Elephas maximus indicus: one gene and its partner. The protein of the gene in region 2 binds, or shares a complex with, the protein of the main gene of each other region. Links are inferred from orthologs where the notes say so. Each region holds a gene or a part of one and is shown on either strand. Other genes may lie near its edges.

Region 1 (7,951 bases), on a different chromosome or scaffold from region 2:
CATAAAAGACAAAAGATATTTTTTAGATAATGCTATAAGAAAATACATTCATGATGTTGGGGTAACAAAGAATTTCTTAAGACACAAAAAAGCCTAACCAACAAAGAAAAATACTGATAAATTTTACTACATTCATATTAATAATTTCTATTTATAAAAACATCATAAACAGGCCATAACAGACTAAGAAAAATGGGCAAAAGATTTGAAAGGCACTTGAAGAAAGAGGAGCTCCTCCAGTGGCCAGTAATCCCAGGAAAAGGTACTCACAGCGACCTTAGTCATCAAGGAAACGCAAATTTAAAACACAAGGTACTTTTATGCATCCATCAGAAAGACTAAAATGAAGAACACTGACAATACCAAATGTTGATAAAGATATGGAGTAAAAGAAACTTAACTGCTTGCCGTGCACACTTGTGTACCAGGAGACATCTAGGCATCAACATTCACAGGAGCATTGTTCCTAATTTCTATAAACTAGACACAATCCAAATGCTCAAGAAGGCGGTGGGGGGGGGGGCATGGAATCATAAACTAGATAGTAGACAAGTGTCAACTTTGTTGAAGGGAAGGACAACATACAATATAGAGGAAGTCAGCACAACATGACCAAAGCAAAGGCACAGAAGTTTCCTAGACACATCCAAACACCTTGAGGGACCAAGTTGCTGGGGTTGGGGACCACAGTCTCAGGGGACATCTTGGCCAATTTGCAAAACATAATTCATAAAGAAAATGCCCTACATCACTTTGGTGGGTAGCATCAGGGGTCTTAAAATTTTGCGAGCAGCCATCTGAGATACATCTGTTGGTCCCATTTCGTGAAAACCAAAGACAAAGGAAAATATTAGCCCAAAGGACTAAAGGACCACATGACCCAGAGCTCCAACAGTCTGAGCCCAGAAGAACTAGACAGTGCCCGGTTACCACCACTGACCACCCTGACAGGGATCACAACTGAGAGTCCCAAACAGAATGGGAGAAAAAATTAAAATATAATTGAAATGCATAAAAAAGTCCAGAGTTACTGGTTTGACAGAACTGGAGGAACCCCCAAGACTATGGCTCCCAGATACTCTGCTCAGAACTGAAACCATTCCCAAAGCCCACTTTTCAGACAAAGATTAGATAGGCCTATAAAACAAACAATAACATACACGAGGAACGTGCTCCTTAGTTCAATCAAATATTCGAGACCAAATGGGCAACCCCTGCCCAAAAGCAAGAAGAAAAGGCAGAAAGGGACAGGAACTGAAGGGATGGACACAGGGAACCCGAGGTGGAAAAGGGGAGTGTGCTGTCACATTGTGGGATTCCAACCAATGACACAAAACAATATGTGTATAAATTTTTGAATGAGAAATGAACTTGAGCTGTAAACTTCCACCTAAAGCAAAATAAAATTAAAAAAAAAAAATTGTAACAAAAATGGAACAACCAGAATGGAAATAATGAGAATGCTCACGCATTGTGAAAAAAGTAACCAATGTCACTGAACAATCGGTGTAGAAATTGTTGAATGGGAACCTGAAACTGCTGTGTAAACCTTCACTGAAACACAACAAAATATTAAAAAAAAAAAAAAAAAAGCAGTGGCAATTACAGCATGTTAATAAAATGAAATACTTTAAAGCTATGAAAATGAATGCCACATTATTACGCACACAAAATGTTGGGTGAAAGAAGCCAATCACAAAAGAATACATTTATATATATATACAATTCAAAAAAAAATTAAACTGTTATTTAGGCATGCACGCATAAATGATAAAACAACAAAGAAAAGCAAGTAGATTATCACAAAAGTCAGGGTAGTACTGAGATCAAGAGAGGGAGAAAGCATTTCTGGGATGTTGGTAATGATGTATTTCTTCACCTCATTAATGTTTCACAGGTGTTCACTTTGTAACTGTTCATTAAACTTTACACCCACACTTTTCTGCAAGAATGTTATTTCACCATCAAAAGATGCATTCGTCATTGGCAATGGGCCAATGGCCTTCTTCTACTCCAGAAGGGTTATTTATGACTGATTTTTCCTTTTCCAAGCGTTCCTATTTTATTTATGAAAAACCTTCAAACAGGTGAATCTTAAATAGACCTCAAAGGTTCATTACATATCGCTACTGTGATATGTGTAACTCTATATTTATAGCTGTGAAAAATACCTTGAAGTTCATACGTACATCTCATTTTCTTTTTTTTAAATTGGTAATGCACCCAGCCTTCACTTAAAATACAATGCTGAACGTTCATACTGGCTCCATCTTCTCACCCCCCCGTTCGATTAACTACCTATTTTTTTTTTTTAATCTATGATGAGGAGTGGACAAGAGATAGAACAAGACCTTTGGCGTTTAGAAAAGAACTAGAAAAAACACAAACGACTTCACCATCACTCCCAACCCCTGTCACGCCCCCTTCCCCGACTCCAACCTAAAAGTTACTGCAGAAATCCTTTCGGCTAACTTTTAATTAAAGATCCAATCATCAACCGTGGGGGCTCGCCTCGAGTGGTTAGAACTGATCAGTACAAAACGAACAAAATTCTGCTTCTCCCCTTCCCCACCCCCAAAAGAAGACAGCCGATAACCACCACTAACAAGAAAATAAAAATCTTCTCAACGAGAACATGACAGGACTGTGAAACCTAAGACTCAGGCTGCAGTGCAGGAGAAAGGAGAGAGCGTCCACTTCTCCTTAATCTCCAGCAAAAGAAAGGCTCTCGCATCTCTCCGCACTGCCCGACGGGCGGCCTCAGACCTCCCAGGGTTCCCGACGGGGCTTCCCACCGCCCCGAGCGCTTTCTGCTCAGACCTAACTCAGTCCGCTCTCTGCTTCCGCGCTTTGTCTTTCAGGACCCCTGTCTTCTCTTGGTTTACCCCAAAAAAGAGACAGAGACTAATCGAATGAAATTCCTCACCGAGTTCACGGCGTCCTGAAGCTGCGTTAGCCGGTCCGCCATGTTTGTCCCTCACGCAAAGGGACGCTTAAGCAGCTGCTCGTGCGCGATTGGGCTGCTCGAGGACTCGTCGTGGCCAATCACATGGCTGCGTTCTTGGAAGGGGTGGGATCGGGAAGAATTTGCGGGACGAGGAAGAGGAGGAGGATCTGAGACTTAGCTAATGACTGTTTAGTCTGGCTGGTACTGGAGGGAGAGTCTGACTGGAAATATTTTGAGTAACTCGGAGACAGTCCAGGGTTCAATCGTTCTCGTATTAAGTACGTCGTAGGTGTTAAACACTTTACAGAGATTGTTGGATTCTGCGGTTTTTTAGTGATTTTTCCCCCATGTATTCATTTTTTAACATCACCTTGAATGCTTATTTTTATGTTGTCTTTGCTTTCCAAATGGACCACAAAGCATATACGCTGCAAGAAACTCAAGAATACTTAACCCGTTGCCGTGGAGTTGATTCTGACTCATAGCGACACTATAGGACAGAGTACAACTGCCCCATACGGTTTCCAAGGAGCGCCTGGTGGATTGGAGCTGCCAACCTTTTGGTTAGCAGCCGTAGCTCTTAACCACTACGCTACCAGTGTTTCTCAAGAATACTTGGGGGTCAATAATAATAAAACCATTGCAGTTGAGTGTACTCCGACCCATGGCAGCCCCTTGTGGTACAGAGTAGAACCGCTCCATGGGGTTTTTTTGGGAGATAGGATATGATTCTAAACTCAACAAATCCAAATTAAAATTCACTAGGCAATCAGGAAGGACTGGTTTAGGGTGCCTCCTCTCTTGCTTTTGGCCATGGAGGGGGTTACCAAAGTGGAAATTGGGTGCATGCTGTTAGGGAGCTTTAATTGTGTATAGATGTGCTTGGGAGGCTGACACAGGTGAAATGGAAAGTGTCCAAAACAATTAAGTACTGTATTTACTCTGTTAGAAGAGTGTGCGAAGGCAAGTCACTGCTGGCAAGGTGAGAAGGAGGAAGAAAGCATTTGGAGCTAAGAGGTATGGTGTGAGCACGGGGAACTAATAAGCTTTTCTTGTTTGTGTGACAGTGAATAAATGGATGAGGAGCAGGGGAGGGTTGGTGGAGAGGAGAATAGACGTTTCACAGTGTCTAGTAGGAAGGAGGAGTCCCTGGGTAGCCCAAACTGTTTGTGCTGGATGCCTAACCTAACAGCTTGAACCTCTCCAGTGGCACTGTGGACAAAAGGCCTAGCTATCTGCTTGCATAAAGATTGCAACCAAACAAACCCTATAGAACAGTTTAACAAATGGGGTCACCATAAGGCAGAATTGACTCAATGGCAATGGGTTTGAATTTTAGTTGGAAAAGCACAAGGGTCTTGTATTTATCCAAGAGTGAGCTGAGTTGGGCCTAGACTAGGATGTTGACCCTCGTAAAAGAAGAAAGAAAGGCTAAAACGTATTTTTAAAGGAAAAGTTAATATAGACTGATGACTGGTTGGATATAGGTGAATGAATGAGAGAGCCCACTAAAGGAGAATAGAAAGTTTTGCAGCCCCATTGATGAGAACTCGGGTGCCTAGGGTAGAGGAGCTACTTCAGAATAACCCATATTCTTTGAAGGCTTAGAACCATAACCTCATGGAACAACTCAGTTAATTGGTGTAACAGAGTTCACAAAAATCATGATCTGCACCCTAGTGAGGTGAGTAGCATCTGGGGACTTAAAAGCCTGCAAGTGGCCATCTAAGATATAACTGCAGTCTCTGCTCACCAGGAGCAGAATAGTAAGGCAACCAAAAGCTCAGAGAGGAAACAAGTCTACATAAGCCACAACCTCATCTAACTAGAGACCAGAAGAACTAGATGGTGCTGGGCTACCACCACTGACCTGATCAGGGTTATAATACTTGGTCCTGGATAGAATGGGAGAAAAAATGGAGCAGAACTCAAATTCTTATTAAAACAAAAAAGTCAGACCTACTAAAACAGCAGAGGGCTCCTTGAGACTATTGCCCTGAGACATTCTTTAAACCTAGAACTGAGCCTATTCTGAGATCACCTTTTAGCAAAATAGCAGAGTGGCACACAAAATACAGAGTACCAGAAATGTATAAACAGAAGACAATTAGAGCATGTTCTCTTTAGATATATTGTAGTAAATGTAACTAATGTCACTGAACAATGTGTGGAAATTATCAAATGGAAACCTAACTTGCTGCATAAACTTTGACCAAAAACTCAAAAAAAAATTATTAAAAAAAAAACTATATTATGATACAGCTTCTGTCCTGTTGTAGGACAACATGTCCTGCTCAAACACACCATAACTGTATGACAATGCTCCACATTTGTGTAGCGCTCACAGGTTGCACTCAATTTCTAGGTAGCCAGGAGGCCATTAGGAAAAGGGCACCAATAACTAATACAGATTGCTTCATAAACATTACATCCTTTCGATCAGAGCTTGAACACACACTAGCACATAAAAAGTGGCTATTATTCCTTACAAGAATCAGACAGCATACAACAGGAAAAGTTCAATCACGAACAATCACACCTCAAAAGCTGTCTGGGCAGAAATGACAACTCTTCCTTGCACACCCCACTTTGTGCCATGGATGAGGGGCTTAAATGGGACTGTACCTACTGCCAGTCTTTTGGCAGTGGACTGTAGGGTTGCTATGAGTCAGAATCGACTTTACAACAATGGGTTTTGGTGTTTTTTAAGCTTATGCTATGTGTGCTCCCCCTCACCCCACACATCTGTCAATTTGTTGTACTGTGGGGACTTGCATGTTGCTATGATGCTGGGAGCTATGCCACCAGCAGGGTCACCCATCGCGGACAGGTTTCAGCTGAACTTCCAGACTAAGACAGGAAGGAGGCCCCAGCAGTCTACTTCTGAAAAGAATTAGCCAGTGAAAGCCTTATGAATAGCAGCAGAACATTGTCTGATATAGTGCTAGAAGATGAACCCTCAGGTTGGAAGGCACTCAAAATACAAGTAGGGAACTGCCTCTTCAAAGTAGAGTCAACCTTAATGACATGGATGGAGTCAAGCTTTTGGGACCTTCATTTGCTGATGTGGCATGACTCAAAATGAGAAGAAACAGCTGCAAACATCTGTTAATAGTTGGAACCTGGAATGTATGAAGTATAATCTAGGAAATTTGAAAATCATCACAAATGAAATGGAGCACGTAAACATTGATATTATAGGCATTAGCGAACTGAAATGGACTAATATTGGACGTTTTGAATAGGACAGTCATATAGCCTACTATGCTGGGAACTTGAAGAGGAATAGCGTTGCAGTCATTATCAAAAACAACATTTCAACATCCAGGGAGCCACCATGGTGCTAAAGACAGAAGCACCATGCTGTCCCTACACAGCAAAGACCTGAAAAACTAAGTAAAACAGAGACAAACATCAATCCCAGAACCCTAAGCATCAAGTGAAGGAATAAAGAGCTGAACCATGCCCTGAATGAAATAAGAAACTGGCAGAGAACAAAGAGTGACGAGAGCTACACAGTGGAGGTCCCCTATCGCTAACGTGGCGCAAATTTGCCATCTTGGACCCCTGAACTACGAAGAATGGCAGACAGGGAGTACTGGAAGGCACGAGAAGCTCCCAGCAGGAGACAGAGCACCTGGTACCCAGCAATACATGCTTTCCCACTCCCCTCCCTTCTTCCCTCTGCTCTACCTCTGCTGCTTCCTGGCAGGCTGCAGTTGCTTGGCTGGGGAGATGCCGGCTTCTTGCTGCTTGTACTTGCCCTGCCCACACCAGCCAGCTCTTTCAGTGCCATTTTTTTGTTGCTGTTCTTGGTTTTGGGGGCTTCTTTTGCATTTTTTTCTCTCTCTCCTTTCCTTTCCTTTCTCCAGAACACATGGCTTTTGTGCCATTTCTGCTCCTTCTAAATGGGCTGTGCAACACCACTTGGACAAGGAACCCCTTCCCTGGTCCATGCCAACAAACTAGAGGGCTCCCTTGGGGCATTTTTTTTCTTTTCTTGGTTCCTTGTCTCTTTCTACCTCCCTTTTTTTCCATTCTCCTAGACATCTGGTGCCGTGTGCCATTTCTGCTCCTTCTTGATGAGCTGTTCAGTGCCTCTTGGCTAGAGATCCCCTTTCCTGGTGTGCACCACCACATCAGTGGGCTCCCTTGGGGTGTTTCTTTCTTTCTTTTTTCTCTTCTTGGTTTCTTGTCTCTCTCTACCTCCCTTACCCTTCTCCTGAACACCTGGTACTGTGTGCCATCTCTGCTCCTTCTTGATGGGCTGTGCAGTGCTGCTCAGCTGGGGACCCACTTCTGGTGGACTCCCTTGGGGCTTTTTTTTTTCTCAGTTTCTTGTCTCTCTCTACCTTCCTTCTTCTTCCTCCCAACCACCTGATGTTTTCTTTTTTTCTCTTGGTTTCTTGTCTCTCTCTATCATCATTCCTTTCCTTTCTCCTGACCACCTGGCCATGTGTGCCTTTCTCTCTCTCTTTTTTAAAATCTAGTTTCTTATCTCTCTCTCCCTTCCTTCCTTTCCTTTCTCCTGCCCACCTAGCTGTCTGTGCCATATCTGTCCCTTCTTGATGGGCTGTGCCACATTGCCTGGCTACGAAGCCAATGGCACACAGCTTCCCTGGGTCTGTGCCACTCCAACGGCAGGCTCCCTTAGCATTTTTTTTTGGCTTGTCTTTCTCCTCTTTCTCTTCTTTCCCACACCCACTTAGCTCCACACATCACATCCTCTCCCCTCTCTCCTGCCTATCTGCACCATGCACTGAGCATTACATCCCCGAGTAGCACAGGTACTGTCTCCTGAAACATGTCCTGCACCGCCCCCCACCCCTGCCCTGTCTCCCCCAGTATGTGCCACAAATGACCTATCCAAGCCCCTCCCCATTTGCTGGACCTGCCCTGCTGCACCATAGCTGAGCGACTGGCCCTGCCCTTTGGACAAGGTTGTGAGAAGTATTTTGCCTACAGATGAGCAAACAAGAAAGAACATCCAGCCCACCTGCTCAG
Region 2 (7,003 bases):
AGTTTTGACCCCTGGTGATCCAACTGTCCAAATGTCCAATCTAGCAAGATTATGAGTTCCTTGTATACCCTGCGCCTTGCCCATACATGACCTGACACATACTAGATGGTCAATAAATGTGTATACTAAACTGTATATATAGTATGACCTTATGTAGGAAAAATATGTATGGAGTAAAATCTGGGAGGGTATACATGAAACTCTTAAAGGGTAGTTAATTGTGAATTGTGATATTATGGGCAATTTTTTGCAACATACATTTTTAATTTTCATCTTTACACCTTTCTGTATCTTCCAAACTTTTGACAATGTGCATGTATTGTTTTCATTTATTTCTATTACTGTTTATACTACACAAAATGTCATGTTAACAGAATGTAGGTGGTTATATCTGAATTGGGTTTAATAAGATTTAGTTGCTTCAAAGGGCTTTATAAGAATTCATTTTATCCTTCAAATCTGATTTCAAATGCTTCCTACTTCATGATGCCTTCTCTGACTTTGGTGCTCCTTCTCCGAAGCTTCTATTATGCCAAAGTTGATACATACTGTACGCCGTCTGTGTACCAATGTTGCTGTCTGCCCCTCCTCCCCTGATGTTCCCAGTCCCCTCACAGATGGGGTCCCCTCGCCTCCAATTTTCTTCTCCATTCTCATTCTCTATTTCTCCTCTCTTTCTCTTCTGTTTCTTTCCATGATCTTCCTCAGATTTTTCCTTTGAGTCTTCTTCCCTTCTTGTCTCCTATCTCTCCCTTCTTTTTGAGAAGACTGACTTTCAAATGAAACGTCAATCAAATGTTACTTTCCATCAGGGAGTTTTCAGGCTGATTCTACTGGAGTCCTGAGGAAGATGCTCAGAGTTGGGAGTGGACACAATGATGAGGGAGACTTCTAAGGAGGATGGATACTTTTGGTTGAAATAAGGGATTGAGGACTACATTTCAGAATGACAAAAGCAATGGGAACAAAGGTTCGAGGATTCCCTCAGGGAAAAGGGTAGAAGAGAGCTGAGCAGAGGGCCCCTTACCTGATTGGGCCTGAGGGTTGTTATCTCCTAGTGTTGGCACTCAGTTAGAAAGAATGCTGACCTCAGTTGATTTGAGCTCCTGGATTGAATTAGTCCTGCTTGTGTAATTGACTTTGATATGTGGCCTTTGGATCTGAATTGGGTTTAATAAGATTTAGTTGCTTCAAAGGGCTTTATAAGAATTCATTTTATCCTTCAAATCTGATTTCAAATGCTTCCTACTTCATGATGCCTTCTCTGACTTTGGTGCTCCTTCTCCAAAGCTTCTATTATGCCAAAGTTGATACATACTTCATTCAAGCAATTATCTTCATCGTATTTTATCGTAGTCTGTGGGAAATTGTTCCTTTATTTTCTCACCTTAGGAATCTTGAAGGACAGGAAGGTATTTCACTCATATTTGTATCTGAGGCCTAGCACACACCAGGAACATACTCACTTGAGCCAGCAGTACTCAATAACAATTTAAAAAATATATTAACAGCTAAAATTTAGTAAGCACTAGGATACGCACTATACCTACATTGTTTCATTCACCAGACACTTTAGGCAGAAAGTACTTTTATTTTGCAATGAGAAAACTGAGCATAAGAGAATTTTTTTTTTTTTAGTTTTTATTGGGCTTTAAGTGGGAGCTAACAAATCAAGTCAGTCTCTTACACAAAAACTTATATACACCTTGCTACATACTCCCAAATGCTCTCCCACTAATGAGACAGCCCGTTCCCTCCCTCCACTCTCTCTTTTCATGTCCATTTCACCACCTTCTAACCCTTCTACCCTCTCATCTCCCCTCCAGGCAGGAGATGCCAACATAGTCTCAAGTGTCCACCTGATCCAAGAAGCTCACTCCTCGCCAGTATCCCTCTCCATCCCATTGTCAGAGAAATTTTTTTGATCTAAGGTTGAATTCAACCCAAGGTCAACTAGTAAGTGGCTGAATTCTTTTCTATATGCTTTTTCTGGATCCAAGATCTGGGCTCTTAACCACTATGGATGGACACATGGATGGATGAAGGAATGCTTTTTACTCTGTGGCTGAAGAAGAGACATGGTAGAGCTCATCATTTATTTTATAGAGACAATTATGATTAGTTCTAACTTTTACTTTTTCTAACTTCTGAATCATCTCTTTTTTTCTTCTTCCTTCCTTCCTTTCTTGTAATTCTGTATCTAAAACTCTCAGGAAAAATGTTTTGAGCACTTACGTTGGAGCGTAATCCAGACAAGAACCAAGTGTTCTGTGGGGAAGGGAACTAACATTGTATTTGGTTTCTACCTCTTGCTATTCATTCATTTCTAAATTTATAAATATCAAGCAGCTACTGGGCGCTTATGGTAAGACCATGTGTGCACAGAAGAACTACTCCATAGGATTTGGAAGCAGATCGCCAGGCCTGTCTTCCGGGGCACCTCTGGGTGGGTTTCAATCACCAGCCTTTCAGCTAGACTGTATAACCACTTGTGCCCAGGTGTCACCATGAGTCGGAATCATCTTGATGCAACTAACAACTGGGTGCTAGAAACCTTTTAGGCAGTAGGGGTATAATGGTGAACAAAACAAAGTCCTGGCTCTCAGGGAGATTACACTCTTAAGTGGACACTTCACATATACTAGTTCACTTGCTCCTCACAATGACTGCATAAGGTAATGATGACAACAATAGTGGGTAACTCTTAACAATGTTTATCTGTACCAGGCACTACCTACATGCTTTATATGTATAATCACAAAACCCTGTGAGCCAGGGGTGGTGTTTTCTCCATTTCAGAAATGAGGGAATTGAAGCACTAGGAGGTTAAGTGACTTGTTGAAGTTTTGAACCAGGGTGTGTGACTCTAATTCCCAGGCTACTAACCACAATATGTTTCGTTTATGTTTTCTATCTTCATATCACACAACTTTCACGTGGCTAAATTGTATCTCCATCCAGATCTGTGTGACTCCGAAGCCCACGGGTTTCCGCTGCATCCCAGAGGCCTCGTGGAATAAATGAGAAAGAATGCCTTGGAATTTTTGCAACACTTTCTCTTCCAAAGAATTCAAACTGATTTCCACATAATTCTCATAGATTTGTGCTGTGAACCTCCTTGTACTGTAAATTCCCGCACAAGGAGAAAGATAAACCCGAGTCCCGGGTCATTTGACACTAGCCGGAGCACCCAGCAGATGGCGCTATCTTAGTAGCCACCAGCTGGCTGCCCCATCCCCGGGGCTCCCCACCTCCGCGGAAAGCTTCCCAGCCCTCCCTCACTCCCTTCTCTCTCCCCCTCCCCACGGAGCCCGCGTCCACGTGACCTTAAGACGGCCAATAGGCGAGCAGAGAGGGCGAGCTGGTCCCTGTGGCCGCCATTAAAGCGAAGGGAAAACCCGTGAATTCGGATTAAAGGGGGAAAAACACCGCCCGCTGGGCCCACAAAATGGGGGAGGCTACTGCGTCCAGGCTGTGAGGCCGCAGGAGAGCAGACGTTAGGTCGGCCCGGCCCAGGGACGACACGAAGACAGCCGGAGAATGGTCTGAGCCCCAGACGCCGCCACCACCTCCGCCACTGAGGAGACTCTGGGCTTAAGGACATCGCCGCTGCCGGGCCGGGGGCCTGGGCTTCCCTCCCGGTTCTCGCCCTTCCAGCTCCTCTGCGGCCGCCTCCCCGCCCGAGGGAATCGTCTGGGGCTTGGGCTCGACCGTCTCGGACTCGATTTCAATTATTTATTGTGTAATTTATTATTTTTCTGGTGGAAGGGGCATACATCTCCTCTGTCCCCCAGAGAGGGGCAAGCGCCTGCGGGCTCCGCGGCAGCCGCAGACCGGCCCGCGGAGCGAGCGCTGCGCGGCCCTCCCGCCTCCGGTCCTCGGCCCCGGGCGGCTGGGTGCCGGCCGGGCGGCGGGGGCTGCTCGCGGCGGCGGGGGGGTGGGTGGGGAGGGCGGGCGGCCCGGCGGCCTCCTCTTCCATCGCCCCCCCCAGCCGCCACCCCCCCCGCCCTGCCCGGTGTCTGTGTTTCTCTCTCTGGTCGGAGGCGGCGGTAATGGCGGATGGTGGGTTGTGGCGCCGGCGGCGGCTGCTGTGAGGGACGATGAGTTCCTCCTTCGTGCCGAACGGGGCCAGCCTGGAAGATTGTCACTGTAACCTTTTCTGCCTGGTGAGTGCCCGGGCCGCGGGCGGGGACGGCGGCGAGTGGGGCGCTGAGGGAGGGGCCGCGAGGTGCGCCCTTGGGCCGTGGGGGAGGGGGTCCGGGTCTGATCCCGGCGCCCGAGTCCCAGGCCAGGCCCAGTGGAGCCGGCGCGGCCGCGAGGCCCCGCACCCAGCCCCGGGAGACGGCGTCCGCTCGGTCGCCGTCCTGAGCTCTCGGGAGTGGGGAGTTTGTTTCTTGTCTTGTTTCTGACTCCCCCCCCCCCCCCCGCATCGTAGTCTTCTCTTCAACTTGGGCACCTCATCTGCCGGGACACTGACTTAATTAACATTTCCGTCTGCATTTTTTGCCTAACTATTGCTTTTCTCTTTTTTGATCCTGTATCCCTCTTCACACTTTCTATTATTGCCTGTTCTCCCACTGTCTTTATACTTCGCTCTGGTAATTTGGTTTCTCCTAATAAACAGGACCCCAGAGTTTATGCACTGACTCCCCCCCCCCCCCATTTTACATTTTTTCTACGCGTCAGACTAACAGTTTGACTTCTGGGTGACTTCACATCTTTGTGTAAAAACCAGTAGATGCCATTTCATATGTTTTCTTCCTAAACTTTGAAAAGTTTGCCATTTTGACAATTTCTAGCCATCTTGCTATTATTAGAACATTATGCTTGTGTGAGAGTGGAGGGGGCTAATGGAGGAGGTGCTATGGTTTTGCTCTGTTTCTATATTGGTCTGTTTTGCTTGCCTTTTCAGAATGCTTTGAGCAGGCTGCTCCATGTTTTATTGAAATGGAAAGTCTGGGGAAGCTATACGGAGAAATGACAATCGTGTTGATTGGTCCAGGCCTGGGAACTTAGAACATATAAGACTTCCCAAAGTACCAACTGTTGCAAATACGTAGTTCAGAAATGGGCAATAGCTTAATTTGGTGACAAAGTTTGGGTGACTTTTTTCATTTTCCTCTGTGCTATGGGAAATATTAAGAGTATATGATAGGTAAATGAGTTGAGTGGGCGGAGCACAACTAATTGGCAAGTGCAAACTGCCAGTCATGTATCAGCAGTTTCATTTTTGGCACCTTATGCTTTGCCCCTTTAAGTGAGGTTGAAGAATTAATGGATTCCCTCTGTCGAATCTCTTTCACAGTGCTATTGAGATCTGTAATGCCTTCCCCCCTGTAAATTATGTTGGTTTTCTTGTATAATGTCCATTAATCAGCATCTTTGCATGTAAAAAGACATACACCAGGTTTTGAATTTCTGTGCTCTCCAACTCAGTCTATTTTTGGTACTTTTAGGATCAAGTTCTTTGAAGATAGTCTAGCACAAATCTGAGATTTCTTTGTGGGCAGCTATGTGATTTTTCCTAAAGTGGATGTGGCAAGAATTAACTAGAATTTTTACAGGAAGTATTCAGATATCTTTTTATTAGAGCTATGACTTCTACAAACATGGAATGATAAATTTTTAAAAATTAATTTTTAGTTAAAAGTTTGACACCAGGGGACAAACAGGACCACTTAGAGTAGAATTTAGGACAGAGAAAAAAATGTTTACTCAGTCAGTGTGCAGTGTTAAAGTACATGTTTATATTTAACATTCTTTTATTTCTATTTGGGGCACATTATATTTATTGACTTGCTAATTTGTGACATGTCAGTGTTAATATTTTAACTGTTTTTGTTCTTTTTAAATTCTTGGTTATTATCAGATGTATAAAGCTTTTTTACTTTTTTTTGGTTTTAAGCCACTTTGAATATTTTAAGCATATATTGAAAAATTGCAGTGTCTTAATGAAAAAGGGACTTTTATGGTGAATAGTTTTAACTTTGAATGCACAGTAATAAAAAGTCATGCTTTCTTTTCTTCAGGCTGACTTGACCGGAATTAAATGGAAAAGATACGTATGGCAAGGCCCAACTTCTGCCCCTATTCTGTTTCCGGTAACTGAGGAAGACCCCATTTTGAGCAGTTTTAGTCGATGCCTTAAGGCAGATGTACTTGGTGTTTGGCGGCGAGATCAAAGACCTGGAAGAAGAGAATTATGGATATTTTGGTGGGGTGAAGACCCTAACTTTGCTGACCTTATTCACCATGACTTATCAGGTGAAAGCAGCTTATCACTTTCAACTAATTATGTAGTAAGATTGTATACTTTCCCCAAAATAACATTTGTATTACAAATTAGGATTTTTTTTTTTTGATGGAACATTGTTAGATATGAAGCCAGATAAAAATTAAGCCCTGTGTTTTATTACACCATGGTTATTTAAAATATGCTATCCATGTGTGTTATGGCAGGTTTTTTCCTTCTACCCACGTTGCTCTGAATTTCTCACAGGCAGTTAGGCTTCAGGAAAACATGCTATATTAACTTAAGAAAAATGGAATTTGGGGGCATGAAGTTCTCAACAAAGTCATATAATACCTTTGAAGCCAAGTGTACCACACCTGGGAGTCAATTCTGCCACTGCTCTGTACTGCATGAATAGCCAGACAATTATAGGAATATCTAGAAGTGGTGTGTTGTGAATTTTTCTTGTTTTTGACAGCATATAGTTATTTTGTTATTGTTTTATTAACACATGAAGGCATATGTTAATTTTTTTTATTCTTGGAGAGTGATTATTTTATCCGAGGTACTGTTCCATCAAAAACTATCGTTAATATAACGAGACAGGTACATCTTGTTTAGCTTTTACAGGATGTGGTGTCATAATCTGAAAGGTTATGCAGAAGTAATTTTATTGTGAGCAAATCAATATGATTACTTCCACCTTATTCTCATAACCTTTAGGACCAAACGTTACTTTAGAAAGAGGCTATAGACCTTCATGTAATTTCT

The links. The genes of interacting proteins can lie anywhere in the genome.
Region 1: MED13 (region 2) and MED21 share a complex: the UniProt entries of both Homo sapiens proteins name them as parts of the mediator complex. The link is inferred for Elephas maximus indicus from reciprocal best matches to the Homo sapiens genes MED13 and MED21.

Annotation. Positions count from the first base shown.
Region 1 is NC_064822.1:85,864,263-85,872,213, reverse strand, and holds the start of MED21 (mediator of RNA polymerase II transcription subunit 21), read right to left. Parts: upstream 3,002-7,951; 5' UTR 2,969-3,001; coding exon 2,927-2,968; intron 1-2,926. UniProt on the Homo sapiens protein: Component of the Mediator complex, a coactivator involved in the regulated transcription of nearly all RNA polymerase II-dependent genes.
Region 2 is NC_064837.1:34,008,773-34,015,775, reverse strand, and holds the start of MED13 (mediator of RNA polymerase II transcription subunit 13), read left to right. Parts: upstream 1-3,986; 5' UTR 3,987-4,100; coding exon 4,101-4,166; intron 4,167-6,029; coding exon 6,030-6,264; intron 6,265-7,003. UniProt on the Homo sapiens protein: Component of the Mediator complex, a coactivator involved in the regulated transcription of nearly all RNA polymerase II-dependent genes.